Neurospora crassa OR74A: one gene and its partners. The protein of the gene in region 7 interacts with the protein of the main gene of each other region in a pairwise test. Links are inferred from orthologs where the notes say so. Each region holds a gene or a part of one and is shown on either strand. Other genes may lie near its edges.

Region 1 (4,754 bases), on a different chromosome or scaffold from region 7:
AGCTGATCGAGTCTATTGATCTCTGTGGCTGCCTGAAGCCAAACTTTGTTCACACGCGCGAATCGAAAAGTGAAGAGACAAGAAAGAGGTGGAAAAAGTGGATGGATGGATTACGCCCCGAGGAGTTTTCATGTCAATTGCAGCTGCCTGTTATTCAGAGACATCATCCATGGCAAGAGACAAATCACTTCCGTTTACGTCACCCGTACCTGCCGCCGTGACACCCAGGGTCCAGCTTCTGGGTGGGTCAGTCGAGCTCGCCGCAAGGCCCCCTGATCCGCAACTCCACACCCAATCATAGTCCCATGTGAAGAGGCAAGTCTGACCTTGATGATCACGACTCTCTTTGCTGAGGGAAGCAGACAACATCATCAGACAGCTTCTTATTTCTTTTTGCCCACTCGGGTATCAAAAGCACACTAGACTTAGCTTGAAGCTCAATTACATTTAGAAACTCAACAACAACAACAGAATCGTGCTCCTCACATTTACTTTCTCCTGCCCTTGCCCTTACCACCCTTACCAGCATTGCCGCCCTTCTTCTTAGGCCCAGCAGACCGTCCCACCTTCTTGACGACCTTCTTGAGGTTCAGCACCGCGCCCTTACCGGCTCTCTCGGCGCTGCCCTTCTTGTATGTCCTCTCCTGCTTGCGCTCTTGCATGGTGTCGAGCTTCTTCCTGTCCTTGTTGCTCAACTTGCCCTCGTTCTTGGACTTGAGCTTGTCCCTGACGCCGTTGAGCTCGGCCCGGCCCGCCGCCTTGGCCTTCTTCTTGTCCTCCTGCGTCTCGAACCACGTGCGCTTGGGCCTCGAGCTGATCTCGTCCTCGTACTTGATCATGTTCTCGCCCTTCTTGACCTGCATCTCCATGTTCTGCAGCTGCTTTTCCTCCTTCTCTTCCTGCATAATCTCCTCAATCTCATCTTCCAACTCGTCGATCTCGGCCTGCCACTTGTCGGCGTCCGCGGGATCGATGATGCGACTGCTGATCTTGGCGCCCTGAGACTTGCCGGCCTTGACGGCAGCCTTGACGACCTTGCGATCGGGCTCAGCAGCCAGGGTAATAGCGGTACCGCTGCGGCCCGCACGCGCTGTACGACCGACACGATGGACGTAGATCTCGGGGGTCTGGGGAGCCTCGTAGTTGATGACGGTGTCGACACCCTTGATATCAAGACCACGTGAGGCGAGATCGGTGGCAAGGAGGAAGTTGACCTTTCCATCTCTGAAGTCCTCGACACTTTGAATACGCTATGGATCCTGTTAGTATCACTCATCCATCTGGAGCATCGTAAATCGTAAACATACCTGAGCCTGGTTCATGCTACCGTGCAACTCGGCGCACGACAATCCAAACAGACCAAAGATGATCCTCATCTTGTGCGCAATCTTCTTTTGTCTGAAGAAGATAATGACACGCTCCGTGTAGATAGTCTTGCAGATGTGCAACAGATATCCTTCCCTCTTCGATTCGCGACCGGGTCTGAGACGGACAAACTCTTGAACAAGCGTACCGGCAGTCTTCTTCTGCGAATCGGCCATGATGCGCACAGGCTTGTTGAGACCGGCGCGAATGAGCCTGTCGACAGACGACGTCATGGTGGCAGAGAACAGCATGGTCTGGCGGGACTTGGGAAGGGTGGTAAGAATCTCGTTCAACTCGTCCGCGAAACCGTCCTCGAGCATGCGATCGGCTTCATCGAGGACGAGAATCTCGATGGTGTCGACGGCGAAGCTGGCAGAGTTGCGCATGTGATCGATGAAACGACCAGGAGTGGCAATGACCACATCCGGGCGAAGACGGAGCTCGGCCTCTTGCACCTTCAGACTGAGACCACCGACAGCCAGACAGAACTTGATGTCGGTATGGCTGGCGAGCTTGACAGCGACAGCGTGACACTGGATAGCCAACTCACGGGTGGGCGTAAGAATAACGACGCGGGTGGTGGGAACCTTCTTGGGACGGTAGAGGAGACGCTCAAGGATGGGAACGACGAAGGCGGCCGTCTTACCGGAACCGGTGACGGCACCACCGACGACATCCTTACCCATAAGCGAAATGGGGATGGTCTTGGCCTGAATGGGCGTCGGCTTGGTGAAGCCCACGGAAGTAAGACCGCGAAGGATAGGACGGGAGAGAGACATCTCCTGGAACGAAGACATCTCGCCCTTCTTCTTAGGCTGATTCTCCTCCTCCGGCGCAAAGAACTCCTTCATCTTGGCCTCCTCCTCCTCATCAATACCCTCTTCATCATCCGATGACTGCACATCATCAGGATGCTCAACGGCCGTAGCAACCGAGTCATCATCCGACGCATCGCCCTCGTCTTCATCCTCTCCCTTCTTCTCCCCATCTTCACCCTCACTATCCTCATCCTCCCCATCAACACCCCCCATCTTCGCATCCTGCTTCTCCTCCTCCTCTTCCACGTCCGACCCAACACCCATACCAAAAGCATCGTCAGCCAAGACACCATCCTCATCATCATCCAAATCCACATCAATCTCTTCTATGTCGTCTTCTTCCTCATCAACCTCCATCTTATCCTCCTCCTCTTTTGTCGCCGTGGTTTTCCCCTCCTTAGCAGCCTTCCTCTCTCTCCTCCTTCTGATAATCTCATCGATATCCACAGCCTTCTTGTCCCCGCCCGCGTTGGCGCCCTTCACAACACCCTTGTGCGCGCCCTCGAAACCCCAGCCGTCGAACTCGGCGTCCACTTCGTTCTGGCCGTCGACAACGAACTGGAACTCGGTATCCATGGCGCCGTCGTCTTCGTCGTTGTCGCCCCAGATGCCGAGGTCGGCGGCGTCGTCTTCTTTTGTTTCGGCTTCGTCGTCGTCATCTTCAGTCTGTTGCTGTTTCTTGGACTTCTTGTTGTTCTTCTTCTTTTGCTTGTTCGATTGTTGTGTGGCCGTCTTGGCCTTCTTCCTGGGTACAACTTCTTGCTCCTCTTCTAGTGGGATGTCTTCTTCATTGTCGGAAATGGTGAGGATGAAATCGTCGTCGATCGCTTTGCGCTTTTGGGAGGGCGCCATTGTGGTGGATGGTGTTGCAACGGTCTGTGACCGTTGTTTGTTCTGTAGTGTTGTGTTGGAAAAGAGAACGACGGGAAGCTCCCGATGCTGAGTGGGAATTGGTGGAATCGTCAAGATTGTACAACTGATAGCAGTCAGTGGGGTCTTTTTTCGTCTCTTCCTCCGCCGCAGAACGAAAGGGAAAACAAAAATTTGGGAACCATGCCCGTCTGTAACTTTTTCTGCCGGGCGGTCAATGTGATTGGAGGATCTGGGGATCTTATCAGTGGCAGCTGGTCGACAGCTGCGGGGATGGGTACGTACCATCTCAACTATCAAGTGAGTACCTGCCGTCTTCGGGAGCAACTCGTTCAACACCACATTGTCCCAAGAAATTGAATACGCGTTCATGTTATAGAGCCAGAGGACCTTGTCCTTACTACAGTAGGACTATATTTATACTTGTGCGGGGCATATGGTCCAGCTATTCTCAACGCAGATGTATCAGCCCGTATTATATGATGATACTACACAGGAGTCATCTACCCCGTCGATACCCAAAATGAACGCCAGACACCTTGCCAATGGTATAATGCTAATCCTCAAACCTTCGCCTCCAAAACATCAGTTGCCCACAACGTAACTTTCTTCACATGGACCGCCACATTATCACTCGTGCTACCGTGTGGAGAAGCTCGCCGACGCTCCAAGGAAGTCCTGGTCATGCCCCTGGTCCTGCTGGTAAGTCTCCTTCTGCTTCTGCTTCTTCTTCATTTCAGCGCGGATTCGTTCTTTCTGCGCCTTCAAATGCGCCATTTCAACATCATCCAGCAAGAATTTCTGCTCATCGATATCCCTTCCACGTCCGGACGCGGATGCTTGCGGGTAGAGAGGGTCTCGTTGATATCCGTCACCTGGCAATTCGTGCTCAACAATATCCCACGTAGCATGATAGTAGCCATCTTTGGTTGGTGGCAGCTCAGCATGCGCCCTTGGCTCCTCCAGCTTACGGATCGCGCCGCTTTCCATTGCAGCGTACTCCTCTGTCGATGCGTATGGTGGTAAAGGACCGTTATTACTGGCGCTCGGGAGATCAATGTCCTCCCATGGATGTCTCCTTTCCATCAGAGATGCGGGTTCGCCTTGTAATTCAACTCCTCTAGGTGGTCTTTCAATCATAGACTCGTCGGGAGGCACTGTAGGCGAAGTCACAGCTGGAGTGGGCGTTACTCGGTTGGGTCCATATGAGACGATTAATGGGGGCTGTGGCCGTTGGGTTTGTGAGGTTGTTGGGTTTGGTCGTGGGAGCGTAGTAGGAACTGAAGGAAGAGGAAGATGTGGTGTTGAAGTTGGAGCTTCGGTTGGAGGAGGGGTGGTGTACTGTTCGTAGTTGTGGTAATCGGGGTAATAGCCACCGAGAGGTGCTGCGGAGGCCGCAGATAACTGGGGCAATGAGGGCATTGGGGGTACTCCAAGCCGGCTGTCAAGGGAAATCGAGTCGGCAGCAGCGCGTTCATTAAGTTCTCCCCTGGAGCTTGCCCGCGGCGTTAGCGTGGGAGTGACAGGGTTCGGCCCGTATGACGTAGGAATTGGCTGGACAGTCTTTGCGCGGGCAGCTTCGAGTTCTCGTCCGGTGATGCTCAAATTTTCCGTCACCCCAAGCCCGCCTCCAAGTCCTGCTCTCTCCGTACTTCTCTCCCACGCACCTCCTGTTGCAGCATCGTGACCCCAAGGTCCTTG
Region 2 (4,511 bases), on a different chromosome or scaffold from region 7:
ACTGACTAAAAGTCTTGTTGTCTAGTTATCTATCGGTTGTTATGGCAAGCAAGAAATGATCCAATGACATCTCCCCTTACTTGTTCCATCCATGTTTGTCCTCTGCTCCCATAGTCCAGCCCTACAAGCAAGGCTATACGTAGCTCGAGACCCCATACCTTGTTTACTAGCCAAAGTCAATCGCAAGGGGCAAGCGGGAGCTAGGCAATTCGAAGCCAAATTACCAGCCCGATCGGCTTGAGCCGTGTCTACGCCTCCTGGGGCACCACTTGGCAGCAGAAAGACGGGGAAGTGAGATACAGAGTGTATCGAGATTTAACATAAACGTGGTTTCGATTCAAGAACCAGAAGTTCTTGTCCGATTTTATTTTATGGGATGCCTTCTGGATTGTTTCCGTGATGTCTGTCCGTGGTGTTGAGCGAGTGGTGTTGAAGAATAGGGCCATGGGACCAGATTATATCATGAACATCAACTTCCGTGCTGATACCTCCCATTGGAACCATTCTCAGCCTCAGATCGTGGAAAGATGCGACCCAAGGCAGCAGTGAGCCAAAGACCGAACCACACTTGTGACTCGGTCAACTCCATGGAAAATGATCATGTTTTCATGTAATAAAGGTGTTGTTACTTCCGACGTGACCAAGATAGCATCCCGTCAGCCTTGAGAGAATATGAAGGATTCCGAAGGGGTTCATGAAACTTCACTTCAGCCAATGTAATGATGCGAGGATATTGATCTGCCATGTGTACTGTTATGTATCGACCCAGGGGCCTCTCGGCGAGTGACACTTCCAACCCAGGGACCTGGATTCGAAGCTGACTGGTACGTTCCAATCTTGCGCCCTGTATCCCGCAGACGGGGTAAGTTTCCAGCTGCCCCGAATTATCGATTATCGATCAAGGCAACCCGTAGCCTGACTATGGACTTGTGTCAAGGCCTTCGAAGTCGTCCGCTGGACGGGAACTGCAAAGTCCACCAGGCTATTGACTGGTCTGTCTCAATCCACTAAACCTTTGGAATAGAAATGTAACATAAGAAGAATACTGCAATGCCAGGATCTCAGAGGTACTGTACAGCGTTTGAATATCCGCAGTGTAAAGCAATGCCACCATGGACGACATCCAGAGCCTAATTCCGTGAGAGGGACAACGAACATGAAAGACCGACTACACGCGGTTACGTTGAGTATATCATGTCTATGACAGACTGGAGTAATTGCAGGAGAGGTGAAAGCGTTGTGATAATAAACGAATATCAGAGAAGAAAACAACATAATGCGGATTTGAAGATAAGAGGAAATGGACAAGTTCAGTTCTCGACTCTCGCAAGCAATTGGGGGCACAATTGGCGGGTTCCGGGGTTCGGCTGATCTGCAGTCAAAAGTGGGGTCAACACTGGGACGGCTGTAGCGCACAGACCAGGTTTTCATCAGGAGAAGAGGGCAGAATTGGCAAAATTTTCACCGCCTGGTGTAATCCCTGGTTATCGAACAAGCGATAAGAAAAAAATCCCCAGCGAAAGAGAAGGCAGAGGAAGGATAACAGATTCGACTCGCTGGGAATTTGAACGGAACCATTGCGACGCCCTTTTCCCAGAGTATCGCAACCACCCACCGACAGTACCAACCCCCCCACGCCATCACGATGGCTTCCGAATTTAGCAAGAAGCGCAAGCTCAAGGACGCCAAGATTGCGACCGAAGATGGCGCCGCCACCGACAAGAAGACCAAGAAGGTGAAGAAGGACAAGAAGGAGAAGAAGGCCGCCGAAGAGGTCGTCGAGGACGCCACCCCCGAGGAGGAGAACGATGCCCAAAAGGCGGAGGAACAACAAGATGGCGACGAGGTCATCCCCACCGGCAACGGGGACAAGGAGGACAGCGACGACAAGGACGCTGAGGCCGGCGACGAACTCACAAAGACCAACGACTCCCTCATCGCCCCGTCCATCGCGACCAATGCCACCGACTTCTCCGAGCTCAACCTGTCCGACAAGACCATGAAGGCCATTGCCGAAATGGGCTTCACCAAGATGACCGAGATCCAGAGGAGAGGTATCCCGCCTCTGCTCGCCGGCAAGGACGTCCTCGGTGCGGCCAAGACCGGTTCCGGCAAGACCCTCGCCTTCCTCATTCCCGCTATCGAGATGCTCAGCTCCCTGCGCTTCAAGCCGAGAAACGGTACCGGTGCCATTGTCGTCACTCCTACCCGCGAATTGGCTCTCCAGATCTTCGGCGTCGCCCGCGAGCTCATGAAGAACCACTCCCAAACATACGGTGTCGTCATCGGCGGTGCCAACCGTCGTGCTGAGGCCGAGAAGCTGGGCAAGGGCGTCAACCTGCTCATTGCTACTCCCGGTCGTCTGCTCGATCACCTGCAAAACACTCCCTTTGTGTTCAAGAACATGCGATCGCTCATCATCGACGAGGCCGACCGTATTCTCGAGATTGGTTTCGAGGACGAAATGCGCCAGATCATCAAGATCCTGCCCAAGGAGGACCGTCAGACCATGCTCTTCTCCGCCACACAAACCACCAAGGTTGAGGATCTCGCCCGTATCTCGCTCCGTCCCGGTCCTCTTTACGTCAACGTCGATGAGGAGAAGCAGTTCAGCACGGTCGAGGGTCTGGACCAAGGCTACGTTGTCGTCGACGCCGACAAGCGCTTCCTGCTCCTCTTCTCTTTCCTCAAGAAGATGCAGAAGAAGAAGGTCATTGTCTTCTTCTCGTCCTGCAACTCGGTCAAGTACTACTCCGAACTTCTCCAGTACATCGATCTTCAGGTTCTCGATCTCCACGGCAAGCAGAAGCAGCAGAAGCGCACAAACACCTTTTTCGAATTCTGCAACGCCAAGCAGGGCACCCTCATCTGCACGGACGTTGCCGCCCGTGGTCTCGACATCCCCGCCGTTGATTGGATCGTCCAGTTCGATCCTCCTGATGACCCGCGCGACTACATTCACCGCGTCGGTCGTACCGCCCGTGGTAACAACACCAAGGGCCGTTCGCTGCTCTTCCTCCAGCCCAACGAGTTGGGTTTCCTCGCCCATCTCAAGGCCGCCAAGGTCCCCGTTGTGGAATACGACTTCCCCAAGAGCAAGATCCTCAACGTTCAGTCCCAGCTGGAGAAGCTGATCGGCCAGAACTACTACCTTAACCAGAGCGCCAAGGACGGTTACAGGTCGTATCTCCACGCCTATGCTTCGCACAGTTTGCGGTCGGTGTTTGATATCCATAAGCTTGACTTGGTTAAGGTGGCCAAGGTATGTTTTCTCTTCTCTCCCTTTTTCTTCCCCAACACCAGAACAGTCACTAACGTACTACAAAAACAGTCCTTCGGCTTCTCCACCCCTCCCAGGGTAGACATCACCCTGGCCTCCAGCATGTCGCGTGACAAGAAGCAGACGAGCAGGAGAGCGTATGGTAGCCAGCCGAAGCAGAACCGTCACTAAGCGAGGCGGGATTCGGTGTTCGTGTTGTTGTTGTTGTTGGTTAGAATACGAAAAGGGGATGATGATTTGTCAATGTTCTCTCTTAGATATCCATCGGGCATTCGGTGTGGAGCATAGTGGGTGTTTTCTTTTGTGTTGCTACTTTGCTGTTTACTTGTTGTTGTTTGCGCAAGCTGCCAAGGCGTTTTTGGTTGAAAAGTAAAACTGGAGGGCTTCAAATCAACAATTAATTTTTACTTTACGTTGCTGCTCCGTTGGTGTGGTATTTCTGATGCTGTGCCGTTCGGTCATCTCGGGTGTCTTTCCATGTGAGGATGGAACATATTATCATGCTGACAGTTTCATTTGATAAATGGTAAGAAAGACCTTGAACAAACCACATCATATCTATTTTGCTACGCAATTGGAAAGATCGTGATGTTGATATGGCTGATGGAAAGCATGGAGGTCCTGAGTGTCACTCTCTATCAAGGATCCTTTGTAGGGATTCATAATCAATACCCAAATTAGGTAGCTGACAACCGGTACCAACTCAACACTAACCTCCAACAACAAAGCATGAAACAACCCACTGATGACAGTCTACTATTTCAGAACGACCTACATCGATACCTATTCTATCTGCAGCCCCAATCGACCCCCCGAACCTGAACTACATAACAGACGGAAACTCCCCGACACAAACCAACCTAACAACTTTACCAAATTTCACCTCGTCCCCAATATCCTCCCCTTCCCCTTTCCCAATATCCTCTCCTTTCCCTTCCCATCACTTCCCCTCCCTCACATATCCCTATCGACAAACTCAATAAAACTCCCTCCCCAAAAACCTCATCTTCCCCCTCCCCACATCGAAAACCGTCAAGGCATTCTGCATAAACACATCCCCCAGAATATACGGCCCGGCCCCGCCGTCCGCAATGGCCGTCATGCACAGCCCCGTCAACGGATCGACCATGTCTTGATTGATCAAGTCGACAGGATTCAAGTAAAATGTTTTTCCGCCCAAGATCACGCCGACGCGCGGCACGATGGCGTCGCACGAGGTGAAGTAGGCGCC
Region 3 (4,108 bases), on a different chromosome or scaffold from region 7:
TTTTCGTCCTAATCCCACACAGCGGTGGGGTTGAATTGGATGAGCCGCTCTTTGTGTTGTTGTTTCTTTCTTCTATTTGCTTGTAGCTTCAGGAAAGGCGGGTCTATGTCTGGCGTTGGTGGTTATGGGTCTTCCCAGGTCTATTTGGGTCTGAATCTGGGTTTGGGTTTAGGCTCGTCTCGATGAATAGCAGCAAGCAGGCGTTACGATGGTGTTGCGCATCAAACCCCTTACCATGCGGGTTCGAGGAGTGAAAGGGGGATGTCTCGTGTATTAGTGTATCTGAAGTACCTAGTCTTAAAGTAGCGATGGCCCTTGCGCGGCTCGTCCGTGACAGGATGATACTCTCACAAACTGTAGTGACCGAGATTTGTTTTTGTTCACGAGCCGACATCGGGGGCCTTTGAATGAAGGTGAAAGTAAGGAACCCGTTTGTTCGGGTGAACGGATATAGCCATTCTGCAAGATGAATGATATGAGAAAAGGACCTTTGAGCCAAGCGGGTAACACCATCAAACTGTAAGGCATGAAAAGAACTCTTTAGGTATCTAAGTAAAGGTAGTGGCTACTGAATTGATCTGAATCCTTCAATGATGTTTGTTGTATGACCGGTCCCATGATGATGTATACTCATACACGCTACTACCACCTTTGTCACCAACCTGCCGTGCTGACCTTTTGTTGTACTAGGTTGGAAACTAAACAGATTACCCATCATGGCATCGACACCGCTCTTCACTTCCACTGCTTCTTCTCGCTCCTGCCACAGTGAAGCTTACTCACTTCACCTCTTTCCAGCCCCCGCCTTTCTCCTAGCCTTACCAGGCCTAGGCGCAGGCTTGAACTTCTTGGGCTTGCCGCCTGCTGGGCCGCCCGATTTCATCTTCCTCGCACTGAACCCGCTCACGTCGCCCGACGAGAGGGCGTCGTTGGATTTGGCGTACTTCTTCTTGCCGCCGAAGCCAAACTTGGCATCCTTCCGTTGCCTCTTGGCGTTGGGCCCGCCGCCCTCCTTGCCGTCGCGGCCGCGCTTTTTGCTGTTGTTGCCGCCAGGGCCGCCCTTGAGCTCGTTGTCGACGGCAACGTCAAAGAGGTCTTCGGCTTCGTTGGCGCCGGTGGGGCCACCGCCGTCCTTGCGCTCTATTTAAGGAGGCGGAGGTTAGTTGGCTTCAGTTATCATCAAGTTGGGGAGGGGAAGGAAGAGGAAGAGAACTTGTTATGGAATTAAGAAGGGAAGGGGAAGGAGAAGGGTAGGAGAGGCACGTACTCTTCTTGAGAAGATTGATCTTTTCGAGTGTGTCACGCTTCTGCTTGGCACGCTCCTGTTGCTTGGCCACCTGCACCTGCTTGCCGAACTTCTTGAGGTCGCGCTGCTTGCGCGCCTCGGCCGAGGCCTTCTTGGCCGTGGCCTCCTCGATAAGCTTGGCCTTGACCTTCTCCATAGTCTCGTCGCTGCGCAGCGTCTCGGCAAAGTAGTCGGTAGGGCGGGTGAAGGGGACACCCTCCTTGCGGAGGAGGGCGCGGCCGACGCGGGCGGCCTCGAGCGCCTGGTTCATGAAGGCCAGCTCGCGGGCCAGGTCGTCGTCGATCGAGGGGATGGACTCCTCCGTCACCTTCTTGGCAACGATGGACTGGTGGAAGGCGAATGGGACTTTGTCGGTTGTGTCGAGGGCGAAGCGCTTGAGCGCCGTCAGGAGACCTTGCTTGTTGTTTATTGTCTGGCGCGCCCTCGAAATGGCCTTGACTTCCTCTCCTTCTTCTCCGTCGACGTCGAGCTCATCAATGTCGATCTCATCCTCGTCCTCCTCCTCGTCGCTCGATTCCTCGGCGGCCTTCTGGTACTTGTTTGCCTGGATGCCGGCGGCGGATTGCTTCTCGTTCAGGTCGCGCTCGAATTCTGAGTCGGAATCGGATTCGTCAAGTGCATCAAGATCGAGATCGTTGTCCTCTTCGTCGTCACTACCCTCCTCAGAATCTGAACCGGCCTCTTCCTGTTGCTCTGGTTTCTCGTCGGCCTTGGTCTGAGTGGTGGTTTCTTCCGCCTTCTGCTCCTCCTCGACATCCATCTTGTCCTCTACAGGGGTTTCTTCGACGACCTGCTTGGGCTTTCTGCCACGCTTCTTCTGCTCCTTCTGGGGCTTCTCTTCAACAATCTTCTCGATCTTCTCAGCCTCAAGAGCCTTGGTGGCCGGCTTTTTTGTGCGGGTGGACTGTCGCGGCATTGTGATTATGTGGGGTTGCTGTACAATCGATTTGGATGATGAGCTCGAGAAGCGGCAGCGCTTGCAGTTCTGGAAACTTTTTTTTGACATGGCGGCTGCCATTACCCGATAAGATAAGCCTGGTGGGTCGGAGGCGGACCCAAATGTGGATGCTTGGCGCCCGGCATAGAGGTATCCACAGCCCAGCTCCTGGAAGTGCCCTTCACACTCTCTCTGAATCTGGCACATCAAACCCCAACCCTCAGGTTACGAGTTACAATGGGCCTGTAGTCACGGTGATGGTCACCCACCGAACTGCGTTTTCTCGGTGATCTCAAGATTGATTGCTAGTGTATATCACCATGCCCTGTGTATCTCTGCCCAGTTTCTCGTAAGCTACCCGCAGCCTGTGTCAAGGTGATTCAACACGAGTCTCCTGATACATCAAACTTCGCGTTCAGTGGAGGAGCCTTGTCCCGCGCAAACATCACGAACCTAACCTGGCCGAAACAGATCAGAAATATGTCTGGGACGTCGAGCTGATACATGTAATGGGATGTAGTATATTTTCTCGGAGCCGAGGCCATTCCTCCGCGTATCTTGCCTTGATGATCGATCAAGCGTTCCATTTGCAAGTTGACAGCTTTATCACTAAAGTCAGTTGCTCTGAAAAGTCTTACGAAGAGGCATACGATGATAATGAAATTCACAATCATAGAGGTAGTCACGGTCATGAGAGCATCCAAAGATATGGTGTCAACCGGGGTTTTTTTTTTATTAAAAGAACTAACACTCTTCAAATCCTTCAACCAAGCCAACTCACCCCCACAATCCCTCCCCTCCGCAAACCAAGATCAGAAAGATACAGTGAAAACTCCCCACATGGTCCTCCCCCTCCACAAATTTCATCCCGCGAGTCCCCCCTCCCTGCCAAGACAGAAAGGAAGACTTCCCTCCTCTACAGTCCTATCCAAGAAAATTCCAAGAAAGTGCGCAAAGAAAAAGGAGTGGTGAACCAAGCGCCATACCCAAGCCCGTGCAAGTCCCACCCAACAAAAGAGAGAAGCATGTCGCGAAATAGCTCCCTCCCAGCAGATGGAAGAGGTTGAGGTTGGAAGGTGTGAGTCCGCCGACTCCCAGGTGACGTTTGCCGAAGAGTGTGAACCAAAGAGAAGTTGCTGCATCGTTTCCCGCCGGCGATGTCCTCAGTCCGCAAAGGGTGTTTGGTGTCGAATCAACGACAAAAGAGAGAAAGGGTCCAGAAAGATAAGGTGAGTTGCCTGAGTGTCGAAAATTGAAGAGGGAAAGCTCCGTGTGGACGAAAAGTAGTCCCGTGTGAAGTTATCCCCAACAAAAAGAAGCGAAAGTCGTTTATGTGAAAGGATGGTGTGTGTGATGTGTGCGGATGTATATCCCCGGTTGACAAAGGTTTTTTCCATTCCCATCAAGGAAAGATCCTCACCGCTCCGGATGTTGTCAGTGGGTGCTCCCATTGTGCAGAGTCCACCATGAAGCAGAGACAAGAAGCTTCCTAGGCGAGGTTGCTGTTGTGGCGGAACGAGAGGTGGGCTTTTCAATCATGATAGAGGGAAAAGCAGATTGCTGGTCTGACGTTGAGAGGCGAGATACCGATCTTCACTGGTTCTCATCGAGTGATGTTGCGAGAACAGGATCACTCAGGTGAGATGGGTGGTTTGCCAGAAGGTTGCTGAAGGAAAGCTGGTTGGTATCTGCCTCTCAATGCTCTCGTTGGCCCTTCAAGGCGCTGTGAGGTTATTTACATAACAACGCAGTAGCCGTTGAAGTTCATGGTGGTCTGGGGGACCTTGGTGGAAGCAGCGGTGGAAGGCATGTTGATGGTTTGTGGGTTGTTTATTGAATGGATTCAAAGGCTGTTGTGGGATGAG
Region 4 (3,224 bases), about 3.5 Mb from region 7:
TCCTTTGCGATTTCATCTTCATTTAGCAGAACCCTACCTCCTGATAGATTACTCGCAAGTGCCGCGGTGGCTACCGAAGGGACGCTGTCATCGGCGGATGGGCTCGCATTGAGAATGCTGGCTCTTCTGCTCGCATTGGGAGTCAGGTTGTTCGGCGTCGACATGCCGAAGCCTTCGAAAGAGAAGCGGCCTCGACCGGTGGACTGCAATGTCGGGTTCGCACTCTGTACGTCGATGTTTAATCCATCGCGCTCCTTCCCCTTTTCGCGCTCCCTTTCTCGGCCCCTGGATTTGTCCTTGTCCTTGTGCTTTTCTTTGTCTTTCTCTTTCTCCTTCCCGAGGCGGTCGCGGTTTGATCGATGACGATGCAGATGGAGCGAAGACGGCAATTCGGTGATGGAGCGAGTGATTTGGTGTCGCTGACGATGTGGAGAGTGGGATCCTCCTTTGAGCCCTTCGACTCCATTCGGGGCGTTCGGAAACATGACGGCACTCGAGCGGCTTTCCTTTTCTTTATCGCGCTTTATCTGGTGATTCCGAGACATACCAAAGTGTAATGATGCGTAATAACGCCAGATTAGAGTACCTCTACGGGTAGGCAAAAAGTGGAGGTGTAAGCCAGGATGTACCTAAAGTCGACGGGGCCACTGACGTTGCGACGACTCACAGAGGTGCATCGCGGCGGGGACGCGGCGCAGGGGACCAATGGCACTCACTGCCCGGTGACGGGAAGCCGGCTGCCTTAACGATCCTTTCGCGGAACCTATCCAACCTGTGCAGGGGTTGCTTCACTGGACATGTGAACTGAAGCAAAATAACCACAACCAAAGTTTGTCACGAGAAGAGAATCACCTGGAAGATGGGTTTCAAGTGGCTGCAAAGCCACCAAGAATGGTAATGGTAAGCTTTTTGTTATGTTCCGTGTAAGAATTGCTTGGGGTATCAGAATATTGCTGTGGTCCCTTATCACCCGCAGTACCTAGTCATTGATGTACGCCTTTCTTTTTGGCGTTGTTTTTCCGGGTTGTTTCTCATCCATCCGCCCTGTCCGCTGAGTTCTTCCTGACAAACCACGGCCTTCCGTGGCTGCTGCGAACTTCCAACTCCAATTATGCCATGCCATTATAGACACTCATTCAAAATAAAGTAACGCCGCTACCATCATATTTGCCGAGGAAGACGCCGCGCTGCGAAGGGGGTTTGGCTTTCGTCTTTCGGGCATTGGTAGAACGGCGAGGCCGGTGATTCGGTTCGGTACCCATCGTTGGACGGAAAGGAGTGAGACGTGGTGTTCCGCATGTCCTGAGTGCCGTTCACAGCCTCCTCGTTCAAGAGTTGATAAGCTTGTTGCGCTTCTCCTTGCGCTTGAGCCTCTCCACCCTCTTCTTGTGCATCTTCTCGGCCATCTTCTCGTAACGTTCCTTCTCCTCCTTCTTTGCCCGCTTCTCCTTGAGGGCTTCGATGCGTCTCTGTGTGGAAATGATGGATCAGCCCCTGGCATCTTGTCTCCCGGATTCGTATTTGCACCAACCTTGCGCTCAGCCTCCTTCTCATCCTTAAGCTCCTTCTCCTTAGCCTTGACAGCCGCAAGCAACTGCCTCTCCTTTGCGCGTTTCTCATACGATGTCAACCCGGAGCCGGGACGGAAGGCCTTTTTGGGGGCGTGCCATTGCTTTCCTGTAGGATAATGGCAATTAGTACTTCATTCGACCTAGGATGGCAGAACGTAACGGACAAAGACTTACCATTGACCCTCATGCCAAGGGGCTTGGAAACCGCCTTGGTCTCCACCTGAGACGTTGTTTGTGTTGTTGTGGTAGTAGAGGACATTGTTGCGAATCGTTAAAGTCGACCAGCAATCCGTGCATTAGCTGGGTTTGATGCAGAGCGTTGTGACGGCGATGCCAGACGCAGAACTACCAAAGGCGGTCAGTGAATGCGGTCGCACTCGAGCAGAAAAATTTGGACGGCAGAATTGGTTATCGGGCCTGTCGTTGCAACGTTATCGCTGAGCGGGTCGTAGTATGGAGAACAGGCGTTAAAACTGCGGGGCGGACCCTCGTCACCCTTGCTTCCGGCATCGATGTGCCTGGTCTCATGTTGATGGTGACTGACGTTGGATCCCAGGGTCTGCCCCGCAGTGATAAGATAAAGTGACTCAGTCGACTGTTTGACGCTGTGGGAGACACTAATAAAAAGCCTCGAGTTGCCGCCCGATATCGCCTTTGTCTTTCTTACAAGATCAAGTTCAGGAACTGTAACTGTCGAGAGTAGCCATCCTCCGCAAGCACCAATCCGCCAAAATGTCTGAGTCCAAGGGCCGCGTCTGTCTGTAAGTAACACCCAGAGCAGTGTTGAATAACGTCTGGTGATTCCACTTGTGGCACAGGCTATTCTGGAGCTTTGACGCCTGACTGACAGTCCCTCCCGTTCATAGCGCCTATTCCGGAGGTACGATCCTGGAGCTATACAACACAAGAGATCCGCCTGCCACGAATGCAATTGCTCACCAATTGATCACCGTATACAGGTCTTGATACTTCCGTGAGTCCTCCTGAAGCTTCCCTCTGATCTTATAGAGCGCATTGACTGACATCTGTGACTGCAGACCATCCTCTGCTGGTTGATTGAGCAGGTAGAGAAAACCAACCAACCCCCGCGCTCCCCTCCCGAGCTGTAATATTAACCCGAGTGACTCGACAGGGCTACACCGTCGTCTGCTTCCTCGCCAATGTCGGCCAGGAGGAGAACTGGGATGAGGTCCGCGCCAAGGCCAAGAAGCTCGGTGCTGAGGAGATGGTGATCCTCGACCTCCAGCAGGAGTTCGTTGACCAGATCGTCTTCCGTGCCATCCAGTGCAATGCCATCTATGAGGACCGCTACCTCCTCGGCACCTCCCTCGCCCGCCCCATCATTGCCCGTGCCCAGGTCCGCGTTGCCGAGCAATACAACTGCGAGTTCGTCTCCCACGGCTGCACTGGCAAGGGCAACGACCAGGTCCGCTTCGAGCTTGCCTTCAAGTATGCTGATTCCCTCCTCTTGAGCCTCATCCGACGCACAAACACTGACGTGACACCAGGGCCTGCAACCCCGAGATCAAGGTCATTGCTCCCTGGAGACTTCCCGAGTTCTGTGCTCGCTTCCAGGGTCGTCAGGATCTCCTGAAGTACGCCGCCGACAAGAACATCCCCGTCTCCTCGACCCCCAAGGCCCCTTGGTCCATG
Region 5 (4,764 bases), on a different chromosome or scaffold from region 7:
AGGATGATTATGCATGCATGATTGTGTTGATAGAAAACGGTATAAAAATTTCAATTAACTCTCTTCCCAGAGTCCATATGCCAAATGCCAAAATAAAACTCCTCTTCCTTTTTTCCTTTTCCCCCCCTCCCTTCTGAATCCGGATCCAGGCACCGGTAAGTAGGTATAATATACCTTGGATTACTACTGCCCCTCCATCACCATCTTCTTTCCTTCCCTATCTTTACCTCCACCCCGACGCCGCCCTCTCCTCGCCCCCCTCTTCTTTATCTTCAAGTTCTCCTTCTCCTGCTTCTCATTGCTGTTCCCGGCGGAAGAGGTCGCACCGGTGCGGGCGATGTTCTCCGTAACGTGTACGAGCGGCGGGCGACTCGGCTTCTCTTTCTCGGTATCCTTGGTCTCTTCACAACGACCACTACCATCAGCTACCACAGCAGCAGCGGAAGAAGACTTGTTCTTTCTCTTCCTGTCTCTACAACGCCACTAACGCGCGCTGCCGCTGCCCTTGATGGCTTGCCTCCGCTTGACCTTGTCGGTGATACGAGTGAGCGCCGACTTTATCTCGCCCTTCTCAAAGGTATCGAGGTCGTAGTAGACGGGGGCAATTTCCTGGTTTACATAGGTCAGTTTCAAGATGCCATTGACAAAGGGAATTCATAAAAGGGGAATACGTACAAGAAGCCACTCAGGACGAATGTTGGTCACTGTCCTGACGTACTGCTTGGTTGTGAGAACGAACTCGTTATAGACGACCCAGTCGTATGGGCTCGTCACCGACGTACTCGGGTGGATCATGACGAGCTGGTCGTCCTTGACCGTCTTGTACACCTTGCTGTTGCTGCTCTCGCGCATGGCCACCTGCATGAAGAAGCCAGCCAGGAGCGCGCGGCGGATGTTGGTGTAGTAGTTCTTGTCCTGGAACGGCGTGCTGACCAGGCTAATGTCGTGCGTCTCCATAATACGCTTGAGCTGAGCCCGGACGTTATCGGCGCTCGACAGGTGACGGTATGAGAGGAAGTGCTCGTGGCACCAGCGCTTCATGTCGTCGCCATTGGTCTCGGCACCCTTGAAGGCGTGGTAGGCGTTCAGCAGCGTCAGGTGGTCGCCGTCGGGGTGGGCGAACTGCATCTTCATCTCGTCGGCCCGCTTACGCGCGTTGTTGGGGCGTACCCATATCGAAGGGACGGAGAGGAGGGACACAATGGAAAGGATCTCGTTGGAGCAGTAGAACTCGGGCGACGAAATAAGCATGACGGCGAGGGCGGGGTCAAGCGGGAACTCGGAAGCCAAACCACCGAGACGCGTAAGCTCACCATCGTCATCTAAGCAGGCGAGGTAGTTAAGCTCCTCCAGGGCGCGCATCATGGTCTCGGGCGCAGGAGGGTCCATGAGATCAAAGTGTACCAAATCCTCAACACCAAGCTTCTTCAACTCCAGAACAGTGTTGGCCAGGTTGGATCGGAGAATTTCAGGATAGGTTTGCTCAATAAGTTCCTTCTTGAAAGCCTTCTCGGTGTAAAGACGGAAGCATTTACCGGGCCGTGTACGACCAGCACGACCAGCTCTTTGCTGAGCAGAGGCCTTCGAGATAGGAGAAACCAACAAAGACTCAACACGAGAGCGGGGGTTGTAAATCTTTTGCTTGCTGAAACCGGGGTCGACGACGTAGACGATACCATCGATTGTCAAGGACGTCTCGGCAATATTGGTCGAGACAATGACCTTGCGACCAGGCCTGCCACCCTTGCGCAGGGGCTCGGGGGCCTTTTCGAAAATGCGCTGTTGGTGCGCAGGAGGGAGAGTGCCGTAAAGAGGGTAAACCTTCATGGGGCCAGCATCCGACTCGCGAATCATGTCGTCCACCTCCAAGCTGATTCTTCGGCAAGCATCCTCAATCTCCTCCTCACCAGTAAGGAACAGCAAGATGTCTCCCTCGGGTTCAGTGGCGTGGATCTGGAGGACGGTCCGTACGGCGGCCTCGAGGTAGTCACGCTCGGGCTCGGGGGTATAGAAGATCTCGACGGGATGGGTACGACCGGGGACGGCGAGCAATGGGGCGTTGTAGAAGTAGGACTGGAACTTTTGGGCATCGAGCGTGGCAGACATGACAATGATCTTGAGGTCTGACCTGCGGGCGGCGATCTGCTTGAGCAGGGCCATGAGGATATCGGTCGCGAGGGTACGTTCGTGGGCTTCATCGAGAATGATGCAGCTGTAGCGGGACATGTCGTGGTCGTGCATGGACTCGCGCAGGAGCTGACCATCCGTCATGTACTTGAGCATGGTCTTGGGGCCGGTCCGGTTCTCGAAACGAATGCTGTAACCGACTTCCTGGCCCAGTTCGACATCCAACTCGTTCGCGACACGCTGGGCAACCGACATGGCCGCCACCCTTCGGGGCTGGGTACAGGCGATGAGCTTGCCGTTCGTGTGGGGGAGCTCGTCGTAGAGGACGTATTGGGGGATCTGGGTGGTCTTTCCGGAACCCGTCTCACCGACGAAGACGAGGATCTGGGTGTTGTGGTACATGTCGAGGAACTCCTGGCGCTGCTTGTGGACGGGGAGGTCGCGCCTCACTTTGAGGATGTCGAAGTATCTCTGCGAGTGCGGCTGGCCGGTCCACGGGTTGAGCTCCGAGTCCTCGGCCTGGGCGGCCTGGGCGGCGGTGGTCTTGTGCCTCTCGAAGGCGTCGAGGGGCGATTCGAAGTCGCCATTGGTGCCGTTGCCGTTGCCGTCCTCGTTGAGATGGGCGAGGTAGGGGTTGTACTTTTCGGGGGCAGCATCGCCATTCTCGGCACGCTTGATGCGCTTTGAGTCCTGGTCGTTGCCGTCCATGTTGGATCTCTTGACGCCTTTGTCGTCGTGGCTGGCCATTGTGGTACCGACCGAGGGCAGCTGGCCTTTTTTTTATATCTTGTTTCTTCGAGCGAGAGGGGTGGGTACTAGGAAACAAAACAAGAAGACCGAACTGAAGGGGAAGAAGAGAAGCGGCGATAGGCAAAACAGAAGGCGGAGTGTCGATTATGGCACCTCCAGTGGCAGTGATGAACAACAGCGAAACAGAGTGGAGGGGAGGGCAGTGGGCAGGCATGCGAGGCTACAACTTTTTTTTTGTTTGATGTCAGGGCGATAGGTCAGACCTGGCCGGCAGTTCCTGGCCGCAGCGACTCTCGACCAATGAGGGGTCACAGTGATAAGCTTCAGTGGAGTAAGGAGTGTCTTTGGCAAGCGCTGATAAGCAAATCACTGTAGCATTGGACAGGACCCTGATGGGCACTAAGACGGTAATTTTCTACACTGTTCTGTAACTGTCAGGTTCACTCAGTTTGTTCCTGCTGCACGTGAAGAAGAAAAAAAAAAGAAAGAAAAAAAGAGGCAAAATGCAGGCAGGTTGATGAAGTTTGTGACATTGTGACATTGTGACATTGTGACTTTTGGCGCATTGGGTTTGTGTGCAATCTTTCTTTCACTCAGCTATTTCATTTTCCATGTACCTATCCATCTATACCCCTCCATACCTGTTTATTTCGAGTTGGTGACCGTTGAGGTTGGACTTTTTCCTCTGGTGCTTCTTCCCTGGAAATATCCACTGCCATGGGGTCAGTCCGTTTTGGGAAAAATAAAAAAAAAGTACCATCCAACTTTGATTTCAGTCTTTACAATTTTCCCTGTGATTGGGTCCGATACCTCATCAAAGTACAGCCTATACATTCTTCTACTGTATACAGGCCCCAGAGACTAGTATAGCTACCTTCTCCGTACCCCTCCCGCTGCTGTTCGTACCACCTCAAACCTAACCTGGACCATCGCGGGGTTATTTACTTCTAGTCTCGTCCACTCTCTTTCACTCACTCGGATTCACATAAAAGTCCAGTCACTCACTCATCATGTCTTCAAATCGCGGGTTTAACCCCGAGTCCGAGTCTTTCGAGCAACGGCCGCCCTTTTACATTGGCCAGCATGATGTCCAACGACATGAGTCGCCCACTGACAATCAGTACGGCCAGATCTTGGACAGTGGTGTAAGTCTTTCCTTACATTAAAGTAGGAAGAGAAAGAAGAACGAGCAACAGCATAAATTCTAACACACATGAGATGAGAATAGTTCAACTTTGTCACCACCCCCATCACCAACGAGCACTTTCACCAGCGCGTGATCGACTTGTACAAGAGCCATCTCCAAGAACGGGAACAGTGGGTCACCGAACGGGGACTCACTGACGCCCAAAAGGCCAACCCGTCGCTGCCACTTCCTACGGTTCCTACCTTGACTGACGACGATACATCCCTGTTTCCCAGCAGCTATGTTGGCTCGCTCATCGCCTATGCCAGCCCATGGATCGACCTCTGCTCTGCCGATCCCATCATCTCAGACATCTCCCGTCAGGTGCTGAACCTCGAGCTCGCCTACGCCAACTTCTGCGGCTCCAGGACCATCATTATCCCCGGCCCAAGACAGGACGATGGCCGTGCCGTTGCTCAGTATGCACGTGCCATTCAGGAGGCTCAGGAAGTCGGTGGTCGTGTGAATCTGGTCATTCACTTGCCCATGTACCGCGAGCCTGGTTTGGAGGAGGAGGCAGAGACGCTTTCTTCTCTCCTTGCTGGTGACGGTAGTAGCAGCTCCAACTCCAAGGAGACCGTCAAGACCGATGCTGCCAAGGGCACCGAGATCGATCTCTTCAGCACCTGGGACAGTTGGCACACCATCCGGACCGTCTGCAAGTACAGCGGTCGTCTGTTTGTTGCCCTGCGCATTCCCAA
Region 6 (3,974 bases), on a different chromosome or scaffold from region 7:
GATATACATGTTACTAGTTTATCAGAGAATCCAACTCCAGCGTTTAGTCGGTAGCCTTGTACTTGGCGCGGTATTCCTCCGTCTTCTCGACGTCCTCAGGGGAGGCAAGACCCCTCATGCCCTCAATGATGTCGTCCAGAGTAAGGATGGCAAAGATGGGAATGCCGTACTCCTTGCGGAGCTCGCCCATAGCACTGGGGCCGGGCTTGCTATCGTCACCATCAGCGGCAGGGAGCTTCTCCATGCGATCAAGAGCAACGACGATGCCAGCGACAATGCCGCCCTCCTTCTCGATCTTGGCGATAGCCTCACGCTTAGCAGTGCCAGCAGTGATGACATCGTCAACGATGAGGATCCTCTTGCCCTTCAGAGGGGCGCCAACAATGTTGCCTCCCTCGCCATGGTCCTTGGCCTCCTTGCGGTCGAAAGAGTAGCAGATCTTGCCGTAGGTCTCGGGGTCAAGCTGGGCAAGCTTGTCGGTGGCAGCAGTAGCGAGGGGAATGCCCTTGTAGGCGGGGCCGAAAACAATGTCAAAGTCCAATTGGCCGCTCTTGTGAGCCTCGATAATGCACTTGGCGTAGGCAGTGGAGATGGCCTGGAGAAGGTCGGCACGGTAGAAGTCGCCGGCGTTGAAGAAGTAGGGGGAAATGCGCTTGGACTTGAGCTCGAAGCTGCCGAACTTGAGGACGCCGCCGTCGATGGAGGCCTTGAGGAAGTCAGCCTTGTAAGGCGAGAGAGCGGCCATTGTGCTGGTACGTAGTGTTTGTAGGATTGGAATTGAAGCTGAAAGAAGAAGAAGAGATTTCAGAAGAACAGCGTTGACGTCTGTCTGCCTGGCAACTGAATAGCTGGAGGAACCTGGGGAAAATTGAGAAAATGGAGGGAGGGGCCGAAGGAAGGGTTCAGTTCCTGGCGGCGTCACACGCGGCAGTCTTTCAACCGAGTCAATCAGATGGTGGGTTACGAGTGGGCCACCTAGTTCCAGGAGCCAGGCCCGCGAAAGCCCGGTCATCGGCCACTTGGGCGCGGTGGGGTCCCTGAAAAAATGTGGGGTTAGAAAATCCTAAATTCCACACTAGCCGAATCCTTAAGCACCCCTTGGCAGCATGTCTTGGCAGCGCACACTACCTCTAGGTTCAATCCACTTTGGCACTCTGCTGTTATCTTATCGATTGGAGCAGCCGCTGGAAAAATATTTCGAAGTAGACTTTCCATTTGGCAGCGCAGCGCCTCCCCGTCGCCCTCCAACACCGCCCCCTCCCCCCGCAGCCGGTCTCTATCCTTCAGACCGTCCGTCCGACCTCATTGTCCTGCACTTCCAGTCCGAGATCTTCTCACCAGCAAGTGCTTGACATCTATACCCGAAATGACGTGGAAGGACATTGCCCCTGTGCCTACGTAAGGACATCTTGGTTGTTGTGTTGTTGTTTGGCATCGCTAACTCGCTTCTACAGGGCACAGGAATTCATCGACATCATCCTCTCGTAAGTCGACATCGGCAGCCCCCAACCACGACGATGCGAAGTCTTCGAGTTCGAGTCCAATGGCTTGGCCACGGTGGTGAAGGATATTAACTGTTCAACAGGAGGACACAGCGTCGCTTGCCGACTCAGAGTATGTTGTACAATGTGGAAAATTACGTGAAGCATGGCATGATCGCTAACCTTTACTTTGAATAGTTCGTGCTGGTTTCAAGAGTATGTCGTCTCGATATCCGATACTTTGTATGAGAATTCGAATAGATCATTGACACGCGACACCGAACAGTCAGCAGAATTAGAGCCTTCTACACCCGTAAGGTCAAGTTCACACAGGAAACATGCAGCGAAAAGTTCGGCGCCATCGTCTCGAGCTTCCCCATCCTCGCCGACCAGCATCCTTTCCACCGCGATTTGATGAACATTCTCTACGGTACGAATCCCGCGCTTCCCTGCGACAGGCGGTTTCAGCAACAGCGGGTTGTGAACCGCGCCTGGTCTTGTTGGGAATAGTGGCTGACAAGGTGATGGATAGATGCCGACCACTTCAAGGTTGCCCTTGGTCAGGTCTCGACCGCCAAGCACTTGATCGAGACCATCTCTCGTGATTACGTCCGTCTCCTCAAGTACTCGCAAAGTTTGTACCAGTGCAAGCAGTTGAAGAGAGCCGCCCTCGGTCGTATGGCCACCCTCATCAAGCGTCTGAAAGACCCTCTCGCCTACCTCGACCAGGTCCGCCAGCATTTGGCCAGATTGCCCGATATCAACCCTACCACCCGTACCCTCCTCGTTGCCGGCTTCCCCAACGTCGGCAAGTCTTCGTTCGTGCGCTCCGTCACCCGCGCTGATACCCCTGTCGAGCCCTATGCTTTCACCACCAAGAGCTTGTTCGTCGGCCACCTCGACTACAAGTACCTCCGTTACCAGGTCATCGATACCCCTGGTATTCTCGACCACCCTCTCGAAGAGATGAACACCATCGAAATGCAGTCAGTTACTGCCCTTGCCCATCTCAGAGCCGCCGTCATGTTCTTCATCGATATCTCGGAGCAGTGCGGTTACTCGCTCAAGGCCCAGTGCAACTTGTTTAGGTCCATCAAGCCCCTTTTCGAGAACAAGATGGTCTACGTTGTCCTGAACAAGATGGATATCAAGACCGTTGAGGACCTCGACCCCGAATCCCAGGCCGATCTCATGGACCTTACCAAGTCCGGCAACATTCAGCTTTTGCGCGCCTCTTGCGCTACTCAGGACGGTGTCCAGGAAGTCAAGAACACCGTTTGCGAGGCTCTCCTCGTTGAGCGTGTCAACCAGAAGTACAAGGCCGGTACCAGCAGCAACGGCACCATGGGCTCCCGTCTCACCGAGGTCATGTCCCGTATTCACGTCGCCCAGCCCGCCGATGGTGTTCTCCGCGAGACCTTCATTCCCGAGGCCGTCAAGGGTCTCAAGAAGTACGACAAGGCCGACCCCGAGAGGAAACTTCTCGCCAGGGATATCGAGGAGCAGAACGGTGGTGCTGGTGTCTTCAACGTCGATCTCAGGGAGAACTGGATCTTGGCCAACCCCGAGTGGAAGTACGACAAGATTCCCGAGGTCAGTATCTCTCGCATTCCGTCTCCCCCAAATTAAACCCGGTTACTAACATGTCACGCTTTGACGAACAGATTGTCGACGGCAAGAACGTCTACGACTTCATCGACCCCGATATCGAGGCCAAGCTGGCCGCTCTCGAAGAGGAAGAGGAGCGTCTCGAGAAGGAGGGCTTCTACAAGTCGGACTCGGACCTCGGCGACGAGTCGGAGGAGGAGATCCTGCAAAAGGCCGAGTACATCCGCGAGAAGCACAAGCTGATCCGCAACGAGGCCAAGATGAAGAAGTCGCTCAAGAACCGCGCCATAATCCCCCGGAAAATGCAGAAGAAGTCGTTCGCCCAGCTCGAGGACCACATCGACCAGCTCGGCGTCGACACCGAGGAGATCAACCTGCGCGGCCGTGCCCAGGTGCGCGAGCCCACTCGCGGCCGCTCGCTGGCCCGCAGCCGCAACGCCACCGAGGACCCCGACGCCATGGAGGTGGACACGCCCAAGAGCGCCGCCGAGCGTCTTCGCTCTCAGAGCCGTCCGGCCCAGCGTGGCCAGGGCGCGACAAACAGGCGCGACGACGGTGTTACTGGTGGTGTGGGCATGGACGGGGAGACAGCCCGCTCCAAGGCCGAGAGGGTGGCCAAGCTCGGCCAGCGCAAGATGAACAGGATGGCCAGAGCCGGCGAGGCCGACAGGCATATTGGTGCTACCATGCCCAAGCATTTGGTACGTCTTTTTTCTTTTCTTTTCCCCTTCCTTCAATCCCCCTTTTCTCTTTTCTCTTTTCATTCCTAAACTAACCACACATGTTTTCTATAGTTCTCCGGCAAGCGTACCGTCGGCAAGACACAGCGTCGTTAATTTGGATCGATGATCCATATATGTTTGGGTTGGGTTGGGTTGGGTGTGT
Region 7 (4,136 bases):
AAAACAACTGGCTACACCGGCACCGCGCAACCACGTTCGACCACGAAACTAACAGCTCCGGTGTCAACCAAGACCACATCGACGCAGTCAAAGGTGGGAGGAACAAGCTCGAATGGGAATAAGGCTCCACTTTCGCGACCGCTCGTCAGCCGACCCGCCCCTAGCGCTCCTGTCGCCGGCTCTGGACCTCCGAAGAAACGCTCCTATGCAGAGATCATGGCAAGGGCCCAGGCCAATCAGCCCATGCTGTCATCCGTTGGAAAGATTCAGCACAAGAAGGTGGAGAAGCAGTTGACGCTGAAGGAACGCAAGGAATTAAAGGCCGAGGAAGCGAAAAAGGGCAAGAAGGATGTAAGGCCACCGACTACCGGGAGGAGCGGTGTGACAGCTGGGCCAACCCGCAATGGTACCAACGGCACGACTGCGAACCGTCAGCGGAGTATCACCCCCTCAGCCCCGGCTGGCGCCAAGTCCAAGACAGGCCAAAATGCCGTGGAGGAGAAGAAGGTAAAGAAGGCTGCTTTAGCGACGACTGGATACCAAGGCACGGCACGTCCCCGCCCAGGGGCCACCACCACAAAACCAGGAGCATCCACCTCGGCAGGCGCAAGTAGGGGCCGTGGGCTGTCCGGTTATGGCGCCTCATTCTCACGTCCCCGGAGACGCGAGGAGGAGGATGAAGAGTTGGACGATTTCATCGAGTACGACGAAGATGAGGACGATGGCTACGGCTATGGTCGTCGCGGTGGTTACGAGTCACTGGAAGAGGATGACTCAGACATGGAGGCGGGATTGTCCGACATCGACGCGGAGGAACGCCGGGCAGAGTTGCAGGCTCGCAGAGAAGACATGGAGCAGGAGGCGCTGGAGAAGAGGTTGAAGCGCGAGAAGGAGGAAAGAAAGCGGGCAGCACTTGCAAAACTCAAGTCCAGAGCCGGAGACCGCTGATATGTCGTGGTTGCGTGGCGTGTCTCCTTCTTTCTTTTGCCTCTAAATTGGGAAGGTTTCGGCGCATCGTGATAATTTCAAGGCAGGAATTCGTTTTCTGGAGACGGTTTTGCAATGGCGTTGGCTGGAAGACAGGACGGACACCCAGAAACATTTTGCATCAGCGTCTGGAGTTTAGTCATTTTGCACGGATTCCGGTTTCATTGGCGGGCGTTGGCTGGCAATAGAGCCCGTCGGACGAATTATAGTATAGGTTGTCATGACACGGTGTAGCATATCTAGATATCTTAACACCCCCAAGCATACCACGTCTTTGGGTTTTGCCTTTGTTGACATACCTACTGTGCTCGTTGAAGCGGGTTATGCGAGCCACACAACTAGTGTCCCTTGGTAATAACCTAGTTGCAGGAGCCATTCTACGAATGGTAAGGTGATCTCCGGATCTATACAAAAGTTGTCCACTGGCCTTCCATCAAGGTTCTCGTCCTCAACGGGCGGCTCTGGCTGCCGCGGTGCACTTCCAATGCCCTGCAGCTGGCAGGCACCTTCATCCGAACCCACTCCACGTTTTCCTGGACATGCTGTTAAGTAGATATCAACCAATGACAGGTGATGAAGCTGCCCCACTATGTCCACCTCTTTACGGGTCTCCGCCACTGGAGGAGCCGCCCGATAAGGAAAGCTAGCCTTGAATGGTTTTTTTATCGGCTTCAAGACGTCCGTTCAGCAGGCATTCGCATAGGTAGAGGTACTGAAGCATATTGACCTAAACCGCATCGTCATTCTCGTCGCCCTTCGTCGCCCTACAACATCTGAAGGCCAGATTGCGTCGCCACATATCTTGAACCGCAAGACCCTCAAAGGGCCTAAAACACCAATATGGTACGGATATCATTTCTTCGAATTGCCCTCCCAATCCACAGCCACTCTCCTCAACATCATGACCCCTTCCGATCACTTGAGAGCAGACCATGCTAACCGACGTTTTCCTGAATACAGCCTCAGAACGAATACATCGGTATAGTTCCCTTCGCACTCGATCTTGATTACCGTCGACCTGTTTCCAGTCCCTAACCAATTATTTCGTTTCGCAGAACGCGCCCAGAAGCTTCACGGTAAGCGTCTGGACACCGAGGAGCGCGCACGCAAGAAGGCTGCCCGTGAGGGTCACAAGCAGAGCGAGAATGCACAGAACTTGCGTGGCCTGAGGGCCAAGCTCTTTGCCAAGGAGCGTCATGCCCAGAAGATCCAGATGCGCAAGGCCATCAAGCAGCACGAGGAGCGCAATGTCAAGGGCGCCCCCGAGGAGAAGGACCCTTCGAACCCCGTTCCCGCTTATCTGCTCGACCGTTCGAACCCCACGAGTGCGAAGGCTTTGAGGTACGTCACTTGAATGGGAGGACACATGAGAAGCGAACGGCCGCGGCGGAGGTGGAGGCCAATGTGAATGCAATGATGGCAGTAGTCATGGAGGTTGGAAAGGGTCCCATACGATGACGAGAGACTGACCGTTTTCTTCGTGCAGTTCCCAGATCAAGAGCAAGCGTGCCGAGAAGGCCGCTCGTTTCTCGGTCCCTATTCCCAAGGTCAAGGGTATCAGCGAAGAGGAGCTTTTCAAGGTCGTCAAGACGGGCAAGAAGGTGCACAAGAAGGGCTGGAAGCGCGTCGTCACCAAGCCAACATTCGTCGGACCCGATTTCACCAGACGCCCAGTCAAGTACGAACGCTTCATCCGGCCCATGGGTCTCCGTTACAAGAAGGCCAACGTCACCCACCCTACCCTCAATGTCACGGTTCAGCTCCCCATTCTCGGCGTCAAGAAGAACCCCAGCAACCCCCTTTATACCCAGCTTGGTGTTCTGTCCAAGGGTACTATTATCGAGGTCAACGTTTCCGATCTTGGTATGGTCACCGCGTCGGGCAAAATTGCCTGGGGTCGTTATGCGCAGATCACCAACAACCCTGAGGTATGACCAGCACAACCCCGCCTCTTAACTTTACATGGACGAACTGCTAATACTTAACTTCCACCAGAACGACGGATGCTTGAACGCTGTGCTCCTGGTTTAAGCGCAAGAGTGAAGAGGGTGATGGTTTGATTTGTCTAATTATATGTCTAGTCTCTTGGGCGGCAACTGTAACGGGATTGCGTTAAATCTGATTTTGCATCTGGGACTGGCGTCTGGTGTTTTGAAAGAGGATCGACACTCACGGCCGCGCAAAATATCTCGTCCGGGGGTTCACTTAGGTAGTATAGTGGTTAAGATACACACACAATCTGCGGTAGAACATTATACCCTCCGATCATTTGTTTTGGTTGATTGTATCACCTGATGGTTTAGAAGACATGGATTAATACGATAAGACACATAGATATATCTTCTCTGGTTGCTGCTGCGCTTGATCTAGGTTGACTCCCATGGGTTTCGAGCAGACTATGCTGGCAAGCGATTAACCTTACAAAGGTCTAAATGGCTGTATGGAACCCTGCATCCTGAGTCGATGGAAATTTGCTGGTCGATTTGACATGCAACACCGCAAGCAACTAACGCAAGGGCAACACATTGACTTCTACATCAGCTCAGAGCATCTAGCTTGTCTTCTGTATCTTGATTTTAGAAGGAGAGCAGTTCCGAGCTTCATCACTCCAGGGTCAACCCAGCCTCCAAGAATCAAAAGCAGGTATTTTCTATCCAGACCGACGAGTAACTTCTGTACTCTTCAAGCCCACTTGCCACCACTCAACGGTCAACGAAACGCTGATACCGTACCAACGAAGAGCTACTCGAAGCGATATAAAGAAGCGATTTGCCCATGTCTCGGGATCCTAGCTTTAATGGCCCCGGGAAAGCGCAGGAATCGGTAAGATGCATCGTAGTCACCCTCTCCTTGAAGCCAAAATCTACCAGAGAATGTGCAAACCAGCTTTTCAACTAAGCCAAACTAGGTAAGGTAAACAACCGGAACCCCAATGGATGAAACCAGAAGAACCAGTCATGATTTAGGCGATCTCCCTACTCTTTTGAGAGGCTCTGGCCTCGTCAACCAGCCGTCAGAAGATATACCACTCTAGAGGTATGAAGCAGTGGCAAACCGGCAGACGAAGTGAAGTGTTTGAGACTAGCTCACTTGTTTGCTCCTGGTCCGGACTACCGACGTGGCCATCGCTGATGAAGGAAACGAGAAAG

The links.
Region 1: the proteins of NCU00981 (region 7) and NCU11175 interact in binary tests that used the Saccharomyces cerevisiae proteins (3 or more experiments, as listed by UniProt). The link is inferred for Neurospora crassa OR74A from reciprocal best matches to the Saccharomyces cerevisiae genes NSA2 and DRS1.
Region 2: the proteins of NCU00981 (region 7) and NCU09349 interact in binary tests that used the Saccharomyces cerevisiae proteins (3 or more experiments, as listed by UniProt). The link is inferred for Neurospora crassa OR74A from reciprocal best matches to the Saccharomyces cerevisiae genes NSA2 and HAS1.
Region 3: the proteins of NCU00981 (region 7) and NCU01257 interact in binary tests that used the Saccharomyces cerevisiae proteins (3 or more experiments, as listed by UniProt). The link is inferred for Neurospora crassa OR74A from reciprocal best matches to the Saccharomyces cerevisiae genes NSA2 and EBP2.
Region 4: the proteins of NCU00981 (region 7) and NCU02640 interact in binary tests that used the Saccharomyces cerevisiae proteins (3 or more experiments, as listed by UniProt). The link is inferred for Neurospora crassa OR74A from reciprocal best matches to the Saccharomyces cerevisiae genes NSA2 and CGR1.
Region 5: the proteins of NCU00981 (region 7) and NCU01612 interact in binary tests that used the Saccharomyces cerevisiae proteins (3 or more experiments, as listed by UniProt). The link is inferred for Neurospora crassa OR74A from reciprocal best matches to the Saccharomyces cerevisiae genes NSA2 and PRP43.
Region 6: the proteins of NCU00981 (region 7) and NCU05289 interact in binary tests that used the Saccharomyces cerevisiae proteins (3 or more experiments, as listed by UniProt). The link is inferred for Neurospora crassa OR74A from reciprocal best matches to the Saccharomyces cerevisiae genes NSA2 and NOG1.

Annotation. Positions count from the first base shown.
Region 1 is NC_026503.1:3,109,825-3,114,578, reverse strand, and holds NCU11175 (ATP-dependent RNA helicase drs-1), read right to left. Parts: upstream 3,207-4,754; 5' UTR 3,036-3,206; coding exon 1,308-3,035; intron 1,251-1,307; coding exon 489-1,250; 3' UTR 352-488; downstream 1-351. Other genes in the region: NCU00234 (hypothetical protein), read right to left, coding at 3,693-4,754. UniProt on the Saccharomyces cerevisiae protein: ATP-binding RNA helicase involved in ribosome assembly.
Region 2 is NC_026502.1:4,196,382-4,200,892, forward strand, and holds NCU09349 (ATP-dependent RNA helicase has-1), read left to right. Parts: upstream 1-1,502; 5' UTR 1,503-1,645; coding exon 1,646-3,262; intron 3,263-3,331; coding exon 3,332-3,451; 3' UTR 3,452-3,727; downstream 3,728-4,511. Other genes in the region: NCU09350 (aspartic-type endopeptidase), read right to left, coding at 4,257-4,511. UniProt on the Saccharomyces cerevisiae protein: ATP-dependent RNA helicase involved in 40S ribosomal subunit biogenesis. Required for the processing and cleavage of 35S pre-rRNA at sites A0, A1, and A2, leading to mature 18S rRNA.
Region 3 is NC_026505.1:3,393,320-3,397,427, forward strand, and holds NCU01257 (hypothetical protein), read right to left. Parts: upstream 2,279-4,108; 5' UTR 2,223-2,278; coding exon 1,268-2,222; intron 1,141-1,267; coding exon 785-1,140; 3' UTR 501-784; downstream 1-500. Other genes in the region: pheromone mfa-1, read right to left, coding at 3,979-4,053. UniProt on the Saccharomyces cerevisiae protein: Required for the processing of the 27S pre-rRNA. Probably involved in the step of the processing of the 27 SA precursor into the 27 SB intermediate.
Region 4 is NC_026501.1:3,022,925-3,026,148, reverse strand, and holds NCU02640 (hypothetical protein), read right to left. Parts: upstream 1,865-3,224; 5' UTR 1,831-1,864; coding exon 1,746-1,830; intron 1,678-1,745; coding exon 1,532-1,677; intron 1,470-1,531; coding exon 1,329-1,469; 3' UTR 894-1,328; downstream 1-893. Other genes in the region: NCU02641 (hypothetical protein), read right to left, coding at 1-545; arg-1 (argininosuccinate synthase), read left to right, coding at 2,304-2,332, 2,438-2,451, 2,531-2,544, 2,609-2,635, 2,704-3,020, 3,080-3,224. UniProt on the Saccharomyces cerevisiae protein: Involved in nucleolar integrity and required for processing of the pre-rRNA for the 60S ribosome subunit.
Region 5 is NC_026502.1:2,956,526-2,961,289, reverse strand, and holds the start of NCU01612 (pre-mRNA splicing factor ATP-dependent RNA helicase PRP43), read right to left. Parts: upstream 3,099-4,764; 5' UTR 2,875-3,098; coding exon 676-2,874; intron 610-675; coding exon 484-609; 3' UTR 1-483. Other genes in the region: pp-2 (protein arginine N-methyltransferase HSL7), read left to right, coding at 3,888-4,022, 4,106-4,764. UniProt on the Saccharomyces cerevisiae protein: Pre-mRNA processing factor involved in disassembly of spliceosomes after the release of mature mRNA.
Region 6 is NC_026504.1:5,445,681-5,449,654, forward strand, and holds the start of NCU05289 (nucleolar GTP-binding protein 1), read left to right. Parts: upstream 1-1,174; 5' UTR 1,175-1,366; coding exon 1,367-1,398; intron 1,399-1,454; coding exon 1,455-1,484; intron 1,485-1,585; coding exon 1,586-1,614; intron 1,615-1,679; coding exon 1,680-1,697; intron 1,698-1,767; coding exon 1,768-1,911; intron 1,912-2,013; coding exon 2,014-3,074; intron 3,075-3,145; coding exon 3,146-3,790; intron 3,791-3,883; coding exon 3,884-3,925; 3' UTR 3,926-3,974. Other genes in the region: NCU05290 (orotate phosphoribosyltransferase), read right to left, coding at 44-745. UniProt on the Saccharomyces cerevisiae protein: Involved in the biogenesis of the 60S ribosomal subunit.
Region 7 is NC_026501.1:6,508,385-6,512,520, reverse strand, and holds NCU00981 (ribosome biogenesis protein NSA2), read left to right. Parts: upstream 1-1,643; 5' UTR 1,644-1,827; coding exon 1,828-1,830; intron 1,831-1,947; coding exon 1,948-1,966; intron 1,967-2,042; coding exon 2,043-2,328; intron 2,329-2,473; coding exon 2,474-2,915; intron 2,916-2,982; coding exon 2,983-3,018; 3' UTR 3,019-3,307; downstream 3,308-4,136. Other genes in the region: NCU00980 (hypothetical protein), read left to right, coding at 1-948. UniProt on the Saccharomyces cerevisiae protein: Involved in the biogenesis of the 60S ribosomal subunit. May play a part in the quality control of pre-60S particles. Under normal, rapid growth conditions, high levels of NSA2 would allow the progression of pre-60S particles through the ITS2 processing.